Drosophila melanogaster: one gene and its partner. Changing the gene in region 2 together with the main gene of any one other region gives a genetic interaction. Each region holds a gene or a part of one and is shown on either strand. Other genes may lie near its edges.

Evidence for each region.
Region 1: of Hml (region 2) and C1GalTA, changing one suppresses a phenotype caused by changing the other (phenotypic suppression), as found in Drosophila melanogaster (one study listed by BioGRID).

Annotation. Positions count from the first base shown.
Region 1 is NT_033779.5:8,947,601-8,954,728, reverse strand, and holds the start of C1GalTA (core 1 galactosyltransferase A), read left to right. Parts: upstream 1-3,512; 5' UTR 3,513-3,751; exon of another isoform or gene 3,752-3,959; intron 3,960-6,857; exon of another isoform or gene 6,858-7,128. Other genes in the region: CG31886 (uncharacterized protein), read left to right, coding at 1-707. UniProt on the Drosophila melanogaster protein: Glycosyltransferase that generates the core 1 O-glycan Gal-beta1-3GalNAc-alpha1-Ser/Thr (T antigen), which is a precursor for many extended O-glycans in glycoproteins.
Region 2 is NT_037436.4:13,843,005-13,850,132, forward strand, and holds the start of Hml (hemolectin), read left to right. Parts: upstream 1-3,049; 5' UTR 3,050-3,203; coding exon 3,204-3,310; intron 3,311-3,841; coding exon 3,842-3,937; intron 3,938-4,017; coding exon 4,018-4,182; intron 4,183-4,243; coding exon 4,244-4,636; intron 4,637-4,693; coding exon 4,694-4,821; intron 4,822-4,877; coding exon 4,878-4,973; intron 4,974-5,076; coding exon 5,077-5,274; intron 5,275-5,386; coding exon 5,387-5,550; intron 5,551-5,606; coding exon 5,607-5,764; intron 5,765-5,825; coding exon 5,826-5,980; intron 5,981-6,045; coding exon 6,046-6,648; intron 6,649-6,790; coding exon 6,791-7,128. Other genes in the region: Tsp68C (tetraspanin 68C), read left to right, coding at 857-913, 1,011-2,042.

The DNA of each region.
Region 1 (7,128 bases), on a different chromosome or scaffold from region 2:
GAAATGAAGATGAAGATCCAGATCAGAATTCAAGTAAGACCCATTATAGTGCGGAAAGTCCGCCTCACCGGGAACGTCTCAAAAGACACAATAGGGTAGCCCATAGGAATCAGAAGAGACAGGATCTTTACGATACGCTTTATAAAAGATCAAAGAGGGAGAATGTCTACGATAGAAAGACGATCCATGGAGGAAATGCTATAAATTTTACGGAAACGGACGAGTCGAATTCGGTGTCCAGCTTTGAGACAGGACTATTTCAGTGTTTCAATGGAATGATCCTGCTGCAGGAGTTCTTCAGGCCAAAAAATGAATGCTCAAATCCGCACATAATGGACACTTCGCCCAACAAGAGTTCCATGGTGGTGCACAACGTCATCGAGGATGGGTACTACTATTATATATTCTACAGCGACAATGATCACGTTCAAAACGAGATCCACGCCATATTCGATATTTACAAGCCGACGTATCAGTACTCAAACATGAGCGAGTCACAAAGCTGTCTGAATACCACAAATTGCACATTCAACATCAGTTTCCTTTCGGATGAGATTGTGGTGGTGGAGGTTCCAACACGGGATGGTATCGAGCACGAGGAGGACGATATAACCAATCTGATCTCCACCTGTCATCCGCGCAGCGAGATATACGCCATCTTTCCCATTACGGTGCTGGTGCTGATCCTTTGCTGCTCCTTCCTGTAGTCCTCCTGATCCAATATTATTAATATACTATTGTGATATTTATGGTGAGGTAACTACCGGGTGATATACTCGCTTGTGAGTGTGTTAACGTTATGGCCGGCCCCAAAACGAGAGCTTTTAAAATAGCCATAGAATATTCCATATCGGTTATACACACACGGAATGAACAGTCTGAACAAATCGTTATCAATATTCGTAGATTTTATGCTAGACTAGAATGTAGCCTAAGACGCAAGCATTTTTTGGTCTACAAATGAAAATGGGAAAATAGTAAGATAAAATATGTAAATTGTATATCGTGTACAAATAAATGTAGATACCAAGTAATTTTAAGATGAAATTGTAGTACTTATCAATTAATTCAATTATTCTCATTTTATAAACGACTTTGATCTTTTTGTTTACCTGAACACATTTTAAAGACAATTCTTATGTAGTCATTTGAAGAGGATTAGTTTTAATGCTTTTGTTGACTTTGTATAAGTGATTTGAATTTTAAGGAAATTTTCATTAGTTTTTTAATAAAAATAAAATTGATTGTAATCAAGCGTTGTAATTTTTCATTTTATACTCAATGTCTACATTTTAACGTTGCCGCAAAATATTTTCCACTGGCTTCAGTTTTAGGAGAGAAAAAAAATTTTGTTGATTCTAGTTATTTTAGATTAATTTGCACACCACTCAAAGCTAATTTGCCGATCATTTGTGTGAGTCTTTTCCTAATTTGGCCACGGGAGTAATGCAAATATTTACATAAAATTCATGTACACATACATGCCTGGAAGAAATGAAATAACATTTTCATTAAAAATGAATAAATTTACTGTCTAGTCTTTTAGTTCATACACTCAATTGAGCAGCGTAAACAAAGTGCCTTGGATTATCCGATTAACATAGTTGCATTAGATTAAGTTATAAAAGAAAATAATAAAATAGTAAAAACAGTATTCAGTAAAAAAAAAATTATTTTTAAAGAAGGGAAAAAAAATGAAAAAAAAACATCATTCAAATTTAGCAGATCGTTGGGAACGTCAGCAAATGAAAGCTGATTGCTACGAATCTAATGTTGATCTACACTGTATATACTTGTGGTTGTGTAGATAATGTGTAAGATTACAGTAAAAAAAATAAAGTCAGTCAGCGATTTTTATACCCGTTACTCGTAGCTTAAGAGGGTATTCTCGACTTGTTGAAAAGGGTGTAACGGATCTTGACACGCGGCATTTTTATTTCGAAACATCACGCCGACACTTTTAAAACATTTTTTTTGAGTAACGGGTATCTGGTAGTCACGAAACTCGACTGTAGCGTTTAAAAAACTCCTGAACTCTCATTCGTTGCTCACTAATTAGAAGACAGAATTTGCCCTTATCAGAGTTGTCAGATAATGCTAACAAGAAATACTATCTTATCTGAAGTGATCGATTGCAAAAAGTTATATGAACTCATTAACCAGCCCCACATCAATAAATATTTATTAAAGGCATTCGTCACCAATTGCATTAATTTCGATTTCTGGGTTTAAAAATATTTAACGTATATTCACTAATTTTGGCTGACAACATGGAGTTACCTTAATAAATTTTCAAGTAGTCTATGTTCAGGTTTCGAATATGAAGTATTAGAAGTCTTTAGCATCACAGAAGCCGGTTGTTAATGTACAATAGATAACGAATCAAACAAAAACGTTTCTTAACGAGTTTGCGCGTATACATAACTTGTTTAATTACAGTTGCGATATCGCAAATTTTTAACGTACAATGCAAAAAATTTCTTGCATTCAAATTTGATGTTAGTTATATTTTCTAATAACGGTTTTGGACAACTATTTTTATAGCTTGTGAAATCTTACTAGAAAAAAAAAAAAAAAAAATACAAAAATCTTATATTTTTAAACGGGGTTTTCTCTATAACTTGGTAAAAAAAAGGTGGCACATCTAACGAAAAAAAACACTGTTTTATACTGCTCATAAGCATACCTAACTATCCCTATCATAATTTTAATGATTTTCAAAAATCAAAATTTGAACAAGTTTTCGGTAATTTTATATTCTTTCCTTTCTAGATTGTGATTTTTGGAGATATTTCAGACGTACAATTATCAATTTATATATTATGCACATATATTTGTATTCATTCTTTGAGAAAGTAATATTCGAAAGAGTGGACACAAATCTTAGAACCAACCCCAAAAACAAACCCTTAAGATAGTTTCCAACAGCTGTTTTGCCAAATATATGGTGACTAGTAGCGAGTGATGAGAGAAACAGGCCATTGATAAATCGAAGTCACACCACTTATATATACAAACTACATATCTTACCTATAATATTTTAGTTTAATAGAAGTTTTTTTTATAATTTTCAAATCACTCTCGCTCTTTATAGAAAGCCGGTACCGGTTTACACCCCCTTTCCGACACAAGCATATAAAAAGAACAGCGAGAGAGAGAGAGAGTGAGCTTTGGTTCTCTCACTTAATTCTGTTGATTGCACAGGTAGAAACAAATAACTTGTATACTGCGATATTTAAATTTATTTGTTTTTGTACTAATTTGTACTATATTCTGGTTAAATATGAAATAGTTAAAAATACTTATTGGGAACTGATATTTTAAATAATATATTTAATAATACTTGGTGTAATTAAATTCAAATTTTTTACTTTTATTGCACTAGACAGCAATAATAGCTTATGTTTCAACTTCGATCATAATCATAAATTTTTTTAATTTACAACTTTCAACATTTTCTTGCCAGTGTACTCTGTTCTCTTCGTTCTCGCTCGTGCTCAGTTTTAGAATTCGCGGCAGTTGTTTTTGTTTGTCCGGCGCGTTCGCTTGCTTCACTTATGCGCTTGTTGAAAATCAAGGAAAGGGCGCGGAAAATAAGTTTAATTAAATATTTCGAGTGGCTCGACTAACACAGCAATTAAGCGAATGTGCAAAACGTGAAAGCAGTTGTGAATAAAACGCACTCATCGCGAAATTAAAAGCTTTTTGGGAGCGTCCTGCGATGGAGAAACGCGTGAGGAAAAATCAATTCGTAAGTAAATGGGCGACGCGAAAAACGGTGATTTAAAAATCAAATGAAATGAAACGCGTGCGGAATTTACCTGAACGGAAAACTAATCGGTCAGCAAAAATTGCGTTTTGTGCCAAAACAGAAAGCGCAATAAATATAATATACAATTGCGCATATGGTGTATGTACATAGAGTGCAAGAAGAACGTGACAAGGAAGAGCAAACGAAGGTGAAGAGTGTGAATAAAACCAAAACAATAAGAACGAACAAGTTTAAGCCACTGTTACGGCAAGTAACGCACGAGAATATACATATGTACATATATTGGTTTCCAACTGGAAACTGAAATTGACTAGAAGGAAGTGGAAGGAAGAATTGCCTGACGGCCTTTCCTTCCAGTCCGGCCACTCACACTACCAAAGCCCCTTGCTGCAGGATGTTAAAATAAAGCTAATGAAGAAAAGAATTGAGAACAGTATAAAAAAAATAGCTAAACTCTTGGGTCCCCATTCCTAAAATATTTGTAAACTCTGATCCTATGCCTAAAAATTATAAAATCAATGCAAAAAGTTTAAATTATAAGGTACAGCATTTATTAAATTTAACGTTCTGTTCCAAGTGTGTTTGAGGCATTTAAGGCGACAACTCTAATATGTTATCTGTTTGAGGGTCGTTGGTCTTGAGTATTTTTAATAACCCGCTAAACACAAAGGAATATGTTGATAACTAGGCGAGAAGTGGCTTCCCAATTCGTGATGTCTTATCCTGGTGGTTGTTGTTGTCTCTGTTAATGTAATGACATTCCCCAAACAGCTGCATTTTGGTTTCTCGCTCTCCGGCTCTCTTCAGTTGTCATTTCCGTTATGCCCTGCCATGCACTCAGCCCTCCCCCTCTATTCCCTTTTGCATCCGGGGGGTGAATTAACTGCAGCCGAAACGCATTTACTTTAATTTATTTGTGGTTCCAGTGGGCGTCACTTTCTCTCCCTCTCATTTTTATCTCGACAGAGAGAGAGAGAGCAGCACATGCTATTGTGCGTGCATTTGTATTTGTATTTCTCGTCTCTGCTCTCTGATTAGCCTTCTCTTGTTATTGTTGCGGGGATAATTCATATGCAGATTGCACCTAGTGATTGCCATTCAAATTCAACTGATAGTGGAAGCTGGAACTTGTACTATAAACATACATATGGTTCTTCCTGCTTCAAGTAAAAAAACAGTAGCCATTTCCATCAGTCATCAAAGTAATGAACTCTCCTTGCAACATATGGGACTGAATAAGAATAGTACTTTATGCTACTTTTAGCATGTTTTCGTTTTCCAGAAGAGAACTACCTAGTAAATGAGTTTTAATAATTATGAATGACTCTAAAAGACTGATCCTTAAAGAGCTCCTTACTTAATGTATTATTACATTATTTTTAAAAATATTCAATACCAAGTCAAATAGTTTTTAATGTATTATTTCTTGTATTGGGTGTATTTGTTCTTAAATGTGTGTTATTTCGTAAAGCCAAAAATCTGAATTTGAATAGACTAACCCAATAACCTTAAACCAGCTGTGCCATGCCCCGCGGGCTATACTATAGAATATTGTTCAATGGCCCCAAAAAGGTGCCATTTCACGTGAGATTCAGGTGAATAGCGCTATACCTATTCATTAATCAGCAATCAATTATCTATCAGCAAAGCCTTTTAATCAATATTTAATTAAGAACTCACATTCCGACTTTTCTTCTTATACATTGCTTTTGTCGATGTCGTTTGAACAACAGAGTAATAGATATTGTTCATTGGGACAGAAAATAATAGTTACTTGAGAACTCTTATAGATAAGCTCTCCGTAAAGTATACAAAATTTTAAGGAATGGAATTCTTTAAGGTTGAACTAATGGCATAATCACTTTTCTCATTCGTTCGTTATATGAATCATATTAATATTTCCATTTTCATTTGCTGTATTGTACTATTACACGATGAACAAAGAAACAGAGTTTTAAAAACGAATGCCATGTTTTTTTTTTGTGCCTGATAACAATTCCGCAGTCCAGTTCCACTTTGATAAACAGCTGCCGACATCATTGTGCCAGTCCTTACTGTATTGTTTATCTGAAAGGGAAGTTACTGAAAGTGAATTGAAATAAAACGAGAATCATAGAGCCAAAACATTAAGTACAGGGTACTTTGCTTATACGGGCTCCAAAAATAAAATACAATAACTGAATTAAAATATTTGCGGGATCGCAGAGCGTGGCTGATTTTATTGACCGCAGATGAAAAGCGGCCAAACAAAACAATTGTACAATTGGTTTGGTTTCTGGTTTTAGTTTGTCTTTCTGGCCCATTCTGTTTTTACATTTTTTTTTTTAAATTACGATGAATGGACTGTCACGCTAGTCTGAGTATAGGGCAGCAAAAAAGCAAAAGGCACTCTATTAACTGAATGACATAATAATAAATTTAGTTTAGCTTAATTTCTATTAACAGGTGCTCCATTACGCGCTCTCGATGAATTAGTTAAGAACTAGATTATTATTATTATTATACATATATAGTGAATAAGAATTTAAGCTACATAAGTTGACTTTTGGGAAAACTTAACTACAATATTAAGCTGGTTTTGAAAAACCCATAAATATAGTTATGCTTATCTATTTGAGTTATGATGAGGTAAACGTTTTATGTCAAGGGTTCTACACACACACATTGAGGGAATTTTTTAAGCTTTACAATGCCACAAAATATTTTTTTTTATTATCTGTGCAAGGTACTACATCTTTGACGAGACAAACTGGTGTTATAATGTTTTATTATCTTTGGCTTTATCTGAGTACGCCACAAACACCGAAATTTCAAAGATAACAACTAAAATACGTAATAGCACGAATAAAGCTAATCACCATGGATATCAAATAGATCACTGAAATAGAATTGCCAGACAGTATGAATTATATACACGTTCATATTCGTGCTACCGAACAGTATGTGATTATATAATTTTCTTTTTTGCTCGACAAGTAATTTTTCAATTGGCCGCTGCAGTGCATGGGAATAGTTTTTGGATCGGCAATGGATCTAATATTAGAACATTTGTAAATACAATATTTGCCACGATTCGCAAACTTTTGTTTGTTATTCACTCCACGCAAATCGGGCATCCCAAAGGCGTTCGAATCTGATCAGTAGACTACAATGATAAGCAAATACGCGGTTAAATTGCGTTTAATTGCTATTGTACATTAGATTGGAGCGGCGATGTCGGTCTGACATGTTGTTCATGCTTAAATTTAATTAATTTGCAAATTACAATTGCAATTGCAAAGCGCCAAGCAAGTCGGGCAAACACACTGGTCTCTGATGTGCCACCCACACAACCTAGCATTGCATTCCCAGTTTAC
Region 2 (7,128 bases):
TGTTAGGTCAAGCCTACTAGGATTGATTTACAACTAGGATTTACAGCTAAAGTAATATGTTATATTTTTAAAATCAATATACCGTAAGGTATACCCTTACATACTAGAAATGAAACTAGCATTGGCCAGTCGAAGTTTATATACCCTTTCAATAATAAGCTATAGCTTAAAAAAAAAAAAGTGGGAAGTAAAACGATGAGTAACGGGTTTAGCAAACATATCTTAACCACAATACATTGTGATCCATAAAAAGAACTTTACATAAATTCCGGTATCTAGTAATAATTAAAGTTCAACTCGTGTAATTGTTTGTTGCTTGTCGGCTTTTGTTGGAAAACGGTTCCAAATGGTTGCACACGGAGATGGTGGCAGTGATCAAATAAGAGCAACGAGCATTGCGCCCCATGCATGGGTTTCTCTTTTCAGTCTCCAGTTTAAAATTTTTGGTGGATGGACAGCGTTTTCGGTTTTGTTTTGCTAAGCTAAGCGCGACGCTTGAAAAGTTTCAATGAGAGTTACCCATCATGGGGTTTGTAGAGAGTTACGAGCGAATTCTCTGTGGTCTCTTACTTTCGCTTCTCTGAACTTGCCACAGAATGTTGCATCTCCGCACTGTTTAGTTTAAATTGTACTGTCCATGGCGTCGCATTGAATATATCCGAATTGAAATACACGGGTGCTGATTTGAAGTTTCGGATTTGGAGTATCTACACATCTACACTGTTGAGCATGCAGTACATCCAGATATACATCATCGCCATCACTGATCTTTGTACATGTCGCAATAATTGCATTTCGTCATAAAACGTTTGGTTCTAATTAAGTTTGAAAGACCCACACCCGCATTGATGTAAACATGGCCTGCTGTTTTAATTACAAATTTGTGCTCAATCTATGTAACTTTTTGTTTTTGGTGAGTGACTAACTAAAGTGAAAGTTGTATAGCTTCCTGCTTTAGCAAGTTTAGTAGTTCCTATATGCTATATTTATTGACTAATTGCATTTTTCAGATATGTGGCTTGCTGCTGGTAGTATCAGGTCTATATATCTTCTCCGATAACAAACGCATTCTGCTCTCTAGACTTTTGGCTGCATCCAGCGATCGGCTGAGCTCACTTCCGCAGCCGCTGCTTTTTTATATAGCACTGGGTGTGGCGATTGCGGGATTTGTGGCTACTCTGGCTGCCGTTGTGGGTTTCTGGGCCAGTTGCCTTCACACCTATTGCTTTCTAACCATATACTTCCTGAGCGTTGTGGTGCTCCTGCTGACCGAATCGGTTTTGTGCCTGGCCATCACATTGTGGCCACATTGCCTGGGAATCAGCTTAGATGAGACTCAGATGGTGCGATCGTTGCAGAGCAACTATGGAGTTCCGGGGCAGGAGCAGTTTACCAATGCCTTGGATTTGGCACAGGTCCGGTTCGGATGTTGTGGGATGAGAAGTTCCTTGGACTACGACACATCATTGTGGAGATTACAGGGCTATGGACAAAGGAATTGGCCGGTGCCGCTAAGTTGCTGTTTTCTTAAGAATGCCGGACATTCCATGGCATATCTGGACCCCAAGCCGGCCAATGAATCGATGTGTCAGTCTCTGGAACGATTGTCCTACGAAAGGGAACGCCACACGGAGTCATGTCTGCCCCATCTGGACAACTGGTATCGCGAACAGTACAGCATCTTTCTTGGCGCCAGTCTAATATTGGCCATGATTGAATTTTGTGTCCTACTCGCCATTATCATGAGCTGCACCGGACTTGCTTCGCAACGGGCTAGGCTTAAGAAACCTGTTCAGGAAATGCGGACTCAAAAAGTAAAATCGCGACAAACCCTAATCGAGAATATATACGAACCTGATGTTGAACTGAGAGAAAATTCCAATCACAGTGGAGACGGAATATATCTGGGACCCGCTAGCAGACATGTCAGCAGTGAGGATTTCAAGGAGTTGTATATAAAACCGAGAGACTTGTACAAACAACATAATTTAAGAACAAGCCCAGCCAACCGACCAACACAAATGAGGAATTATTTGGTCTAATTGAAAACCTTATCCTGCTCACAAATGGACACGTATAGCTTAAGCTAATATAAAGCTAAGCCAAGAGAGGAAAGTATGAAATTTAAAAGTGTTATCTATATATATCACAGCAGTATGTATTTGCTCAGTAGTATAATTATAAGTATATTTAGTAATATTATTTATTTAAGTGTGGAATATATTAAATATATTTTCTAATGTATTCAGTGTTTTTCAACCATAAATCTAATTTCGATGGCTTACTTTGAAGTAAATCTGAAGATTTTTTCCACTTTAAACGTTTTCATTGTTTTAAATACGTGCATTAATTAAATTTGGTACCCAAAAGTTATTTCTGTAGGCAGGTTCAATACACTTTACTAATTTTGACACCAATGCGCCCTCTAGCGAGCTACGAGACAAGCTGCTGCTCGAACGCATGAACCGTAAACTGCTTGCATTCAGCATTTGCACTGCTTGAACCGATAACTTTTAACGGTCACAATGTAGTACGTTGAATATTTGAAATTAGTTCACCCTTGGCCAACATTAAAGTGATTATATTCCACCACCCAAGTTCAATGCCATTGGAGAAGTTTCTGCGTAGGACGCTTTACATCCAGCAGCTCTTCGTTGACCATATAACTTTTGAATGGCGACATATCAGCAGAGGGGGCTACCCCAAGTCAGAAAATTCTTACACCCATCGTGGACTCTAGTAAAATTATGACATAGGTCCCGGAAATGCCGCTATCAGGAAGGCATTAGCATCAGCTTAAACTTGGCACAGATTTGTTACATTCGCTTTGCTAATTTAAGAACGGCGATGCCGATAAGCTGATGATGGTGCTTTTTTTGCGGATCGTGGATAAATAGTGGGCTTGAGCCTAACAATTCCGAGTGTTCTGATAAACCAGCTACGGAATCGGGCCTATAAAAGGGGCTCCCCATTCATGGGGAACATTAGTCGCGATCGCGCATCGAAATCGTCAAGTTCAGTGGATATAATTACAGTGAAAAAGTGCTAAGTGTAAAAGTTTTTAAAAGTGAGTTCTAAGCTGGATTTTAAACAGGACTAACAGCTTGGCAGTGTCCTTGCAGAAATGGATTACCAGTGCTAACTATCAACAGGATTTTCCTGTGTATACAATTAAACCAACAATTTCCGATTAGCCTAACAAAATGGCTAACAAAGTGATTTTTGTGGCGTTGTGGCTGCTTTTTATTTCATCTGTTTTGACAGAGAATGGAGACATTATAATAACCGATGATGACGACGAGGATATCAAGTGAGTGGATGAGAAAGTTACAGTTTTTGTGCAAATAAATAAATACTCGTAAAGCGGAATAAATACGTCTTCAAAAATAATTATTTTGGAGAAATACATTGTGAACATTAATATACATACATGCATGTGAACTGTGGGTCTTACCAGATTTTTCTTCGATAATATTGTTATATCCTTAAATTATAACAATTGAATAAACCATCTAAGTTAAAAAATGAAGATATAAATAGATTTATATATACACAAAACAAACTCTCTATTAAATTGGAAATACTTTTACTTCGAAACTTTACTTTTATTAATGTCGTTGCATTAAGTATAAACAAACTGTAACTTAAGGAAAAAGATTTCACAACTCGCATCCATATTGAAAAAAGTGTTTTTTTTTTAAGTTGTCTTCAAAGTTACCAATACGATTCTGTAAAAATAAGTCCTTTCGCTAAAATCCTAGAAAATATTGTCCTTTCAACATTCTAATTGCTAGCTGCGTAAAATTAAGCTTTGTGTCCTAATGATTATTTGCGAATTTAGCCCGCTGCTCCAGGCCGCACCGGAAGTCGTCGATAAGGAGAACGAACGGAACGAACGCCACATTAGCTTCAACATCCTCAAAGCCCCAGCAGTTAGGTAATGATAAGTCTGAAGAAACCGCGATAATTCGCCAAGTTCAGCGGGGGATTATTTAACTGGATTACATTATTTTATAGTGCACGATACACTTATGGCGGTTCTGAAGGAGGCCGTAGTGGATTCGGAGGAGGATATGGTGTTGGTGGAGGTGGAGGTGGTGGTTATGGCGGGATAAAGACGTCTCATGCCGCTGGAGGACTGCTTACCAAAACCTTGGGCTTTTTAGGCATGGGTGGCCAGGGGTAATTATAAAAAAAAAAACTATGAAGTGTATCCGAAGAATTAAAATAAAATCTTCAACAGAAGTCAGGGCAACTTTTACGGAGGCGGAGGACACTTTCTAGCAGCCTTCGGAAAATGTTCAGCCCTCCAACTGCCGTCCAATGTTCAGTCTGAATGCCACAATGGTCGTTGCAAAGTCTTCTGCCCAACTGGCTATAGTTTCGCACAGGACGTTTCAGTCCTGGAGATGTTCTGCAGCAATGATGGATGGATCATAGGCAACTCCGTGTTTGCGGAGGTGCCACCCTGTCAGGCACAATGTACACCTCCATGCCAAAACAATGGCATCTGCATTTCCGCCGGAGTGTGCCAGTGTCCGGAGAACTACTACGGTCCGCTGTGTCAGCAAAAGAAGTCCATATGTGCATCCTTTCCGAAGGCACCGAAAAACTCCAAAGTATCCTGCAAGAACAAGTGAGCTCTATGGGTCTGGCTTTACATAGGGATACTACAATCCAATTATTTTTTAAGTATGTGCCACGCGGAGTGCATGAGAGGATTTCAGTTTCCAGACGGCAGCGGAATTACGAACATTGAGTGCCGCAATGGCCAGTGGGTGCACACTAAAACTGGGCTATCCAAAACTCCAGATTGTGCTCGTGAGCAGAAACCTCAAAAAAATGCGGAGTTTTTTGTTTCAAACTTTTTCTTTCAGCTACTTGTGCGCCCGCCTGCCAAAACGGAGGTCAGTGCATTAGTTTCAATGTCTGTCAGTGCTCTAAGATGTTCCGCGGAGACCATTGTCAATATAGTAAGTAAACAGATTATACTTCAAAATATTAACATGATAACATTTTTGTTATCGTATTTGAAAAATTTTTAATTTTTTTTAAATTTCTTATTACATTTTACAGACATTGACAGATGCAATGTGACTAATACAAATTTTAATGGAAACTACAAGTGTGCCTACGAAATGGACGACGCTCGTTGCACATTTAGTTGTCCTCAAGTACCGGGATTAAAAATCCAAGGACGAATTGACATAGAGTACAAGTGTAACTATCTGCAAGGACAATATCTGCCTGCCCCGCTTCCAAAGTGTATTTTCCGTAAGTATCCTCAACATAACTGTTGATAAGAGTTGTCCAAGTATTATCAGTCCGATATTAAGATTATAAAATTAAAGGTAGATTTTTTTCTTCTAAAATCAAAATACTACAGCTCCTGGATACACCGTTCGGTCCACATCATCCATGCAAGGTGTAACGCATCAGAATGGCGTTTATCATCGCGGAATGAGTGGGGAAATGGCTTATGAACTCCAAACAGAACGTCAAAAACTACTTGCTCTGCTCGCAAAATATCGGGATCTGGAAAGAAGAAGTGTACGTTAATTTGCATCATTTCCATATAAAAAAAATTTAATAGAAAATGAATTTAGGAATGGTGGTCTTCGGAGGAAACTGTTGTCACCATGAGCAGTTATTCCTTGTACCAGAGCAACAATTTGGATATCGTCATCGACAAAACCCCACGACCAGCACTTTGCACCACTTGGGGTGGTATTAACATGAAAACCTTTGATGGTCTGGTTTTCAAGTAAGCGGAGTGCTATAAAAATTTAAGTAAATCGGTTTGCTTAATCCATTGTTCCCAACAGGGCTCCTCTATCCTGTTCACACACGCTAATTACAGACAAGGTCTCGGGTACATTCGACATTATCCTGAAGGCTTGTCCTTATGGCTCTGGGTATGGCTGCGCACACACCTTGAAAATTCTATGGCAATCGGTTCTATACACTTTTGAAAACCTGAGTAAGAGCTTTGATACCAACATGATAAAACATGTGAAATAATTTATAAAATAAAATTCCTTTTAGATGGCACCATGCAGCTGACCACACCGATTAAGAAGCTTCCAATGCCTGTCCAGGTTATGGGCATGAAAGTCATGCCGGTGGCCCAGCATGTGCAGATCGATCTCGAGTCTGTAGGTCTCAAGCTGGATTGGGATCATCGGCAGTATGTGTCCGTGCAGGCGGGACCCCAAATGTGGGGAAAAGTTGGAGGTCTCTGTGGAACCCTGGATGGTGATCCTAACACGGACTTGACCTCCAGAACGGGCAAAAAGTTGGCCACGGTCAAGGCCTTCGCAGATGCCTGGCGCGTCGAGGATCGCAGTGAATTGTGCCAGGTGGAGAATAGTGCAGAGATGGAGTTCGGTATGGATTCCTGTGAGCAATCTAAGCTACAAAAGGCTGTATCAGTCTGTGAGCGTCTGTTGGCCAACGAAAAGCTCGGTGACTGCATTAAACCCTTTAATTACGACGCCCTGATCCGCACCTGCATGGCGGACTACTGCAATTGTGCCAATCGAGAGCACCCGGAAAGCTGCAATTGCGATGCCATTGCCATGCTGGCCAAGGAGTGCGCCTTCAAGGGCATTAAACTGGAGCACGGTTGGCGCAATCTGGAAATCTGTCGTAAGTCAGCAAAATCAAAAATTGGATCAAAAGAAAGTAATCTAGCTTGAGAAAGTAACTAGCGGGATTGTAAAACAGAAAATTTGCTTCGATTTGAATAACTTTTTAACCGACATTCTGATAATCTCTTTTTCTTTTCCAGCCATCAGTTGTGGCTTTGGGCGCGTTTATCAGGCCTGTGGTCCAAATGTGGAGCCGACTTGCGATTCAGACCTAGCGCTACCAGCCTCAAAAGGCGCATGCAACGAAGGCTGTTTTTGTCCGGAAGGAACTGTGCAGTACAAGGAGGCGTGCATCACTCGAGAACTTTGCCCGTGTTCCCTTCGCGGCAAGGAATTCAAGCCAGAGTCGACGGTCAAAAAGAATTGCAACACCTGCACCTGTAAGAACGGTCAGTGGCGGTGTACGGAGGATAAATGTGGCGCCCGCTGTGGGGCCGTTGGAGATCCGCATTATCAGACGTTCGATGGCAAACGATAT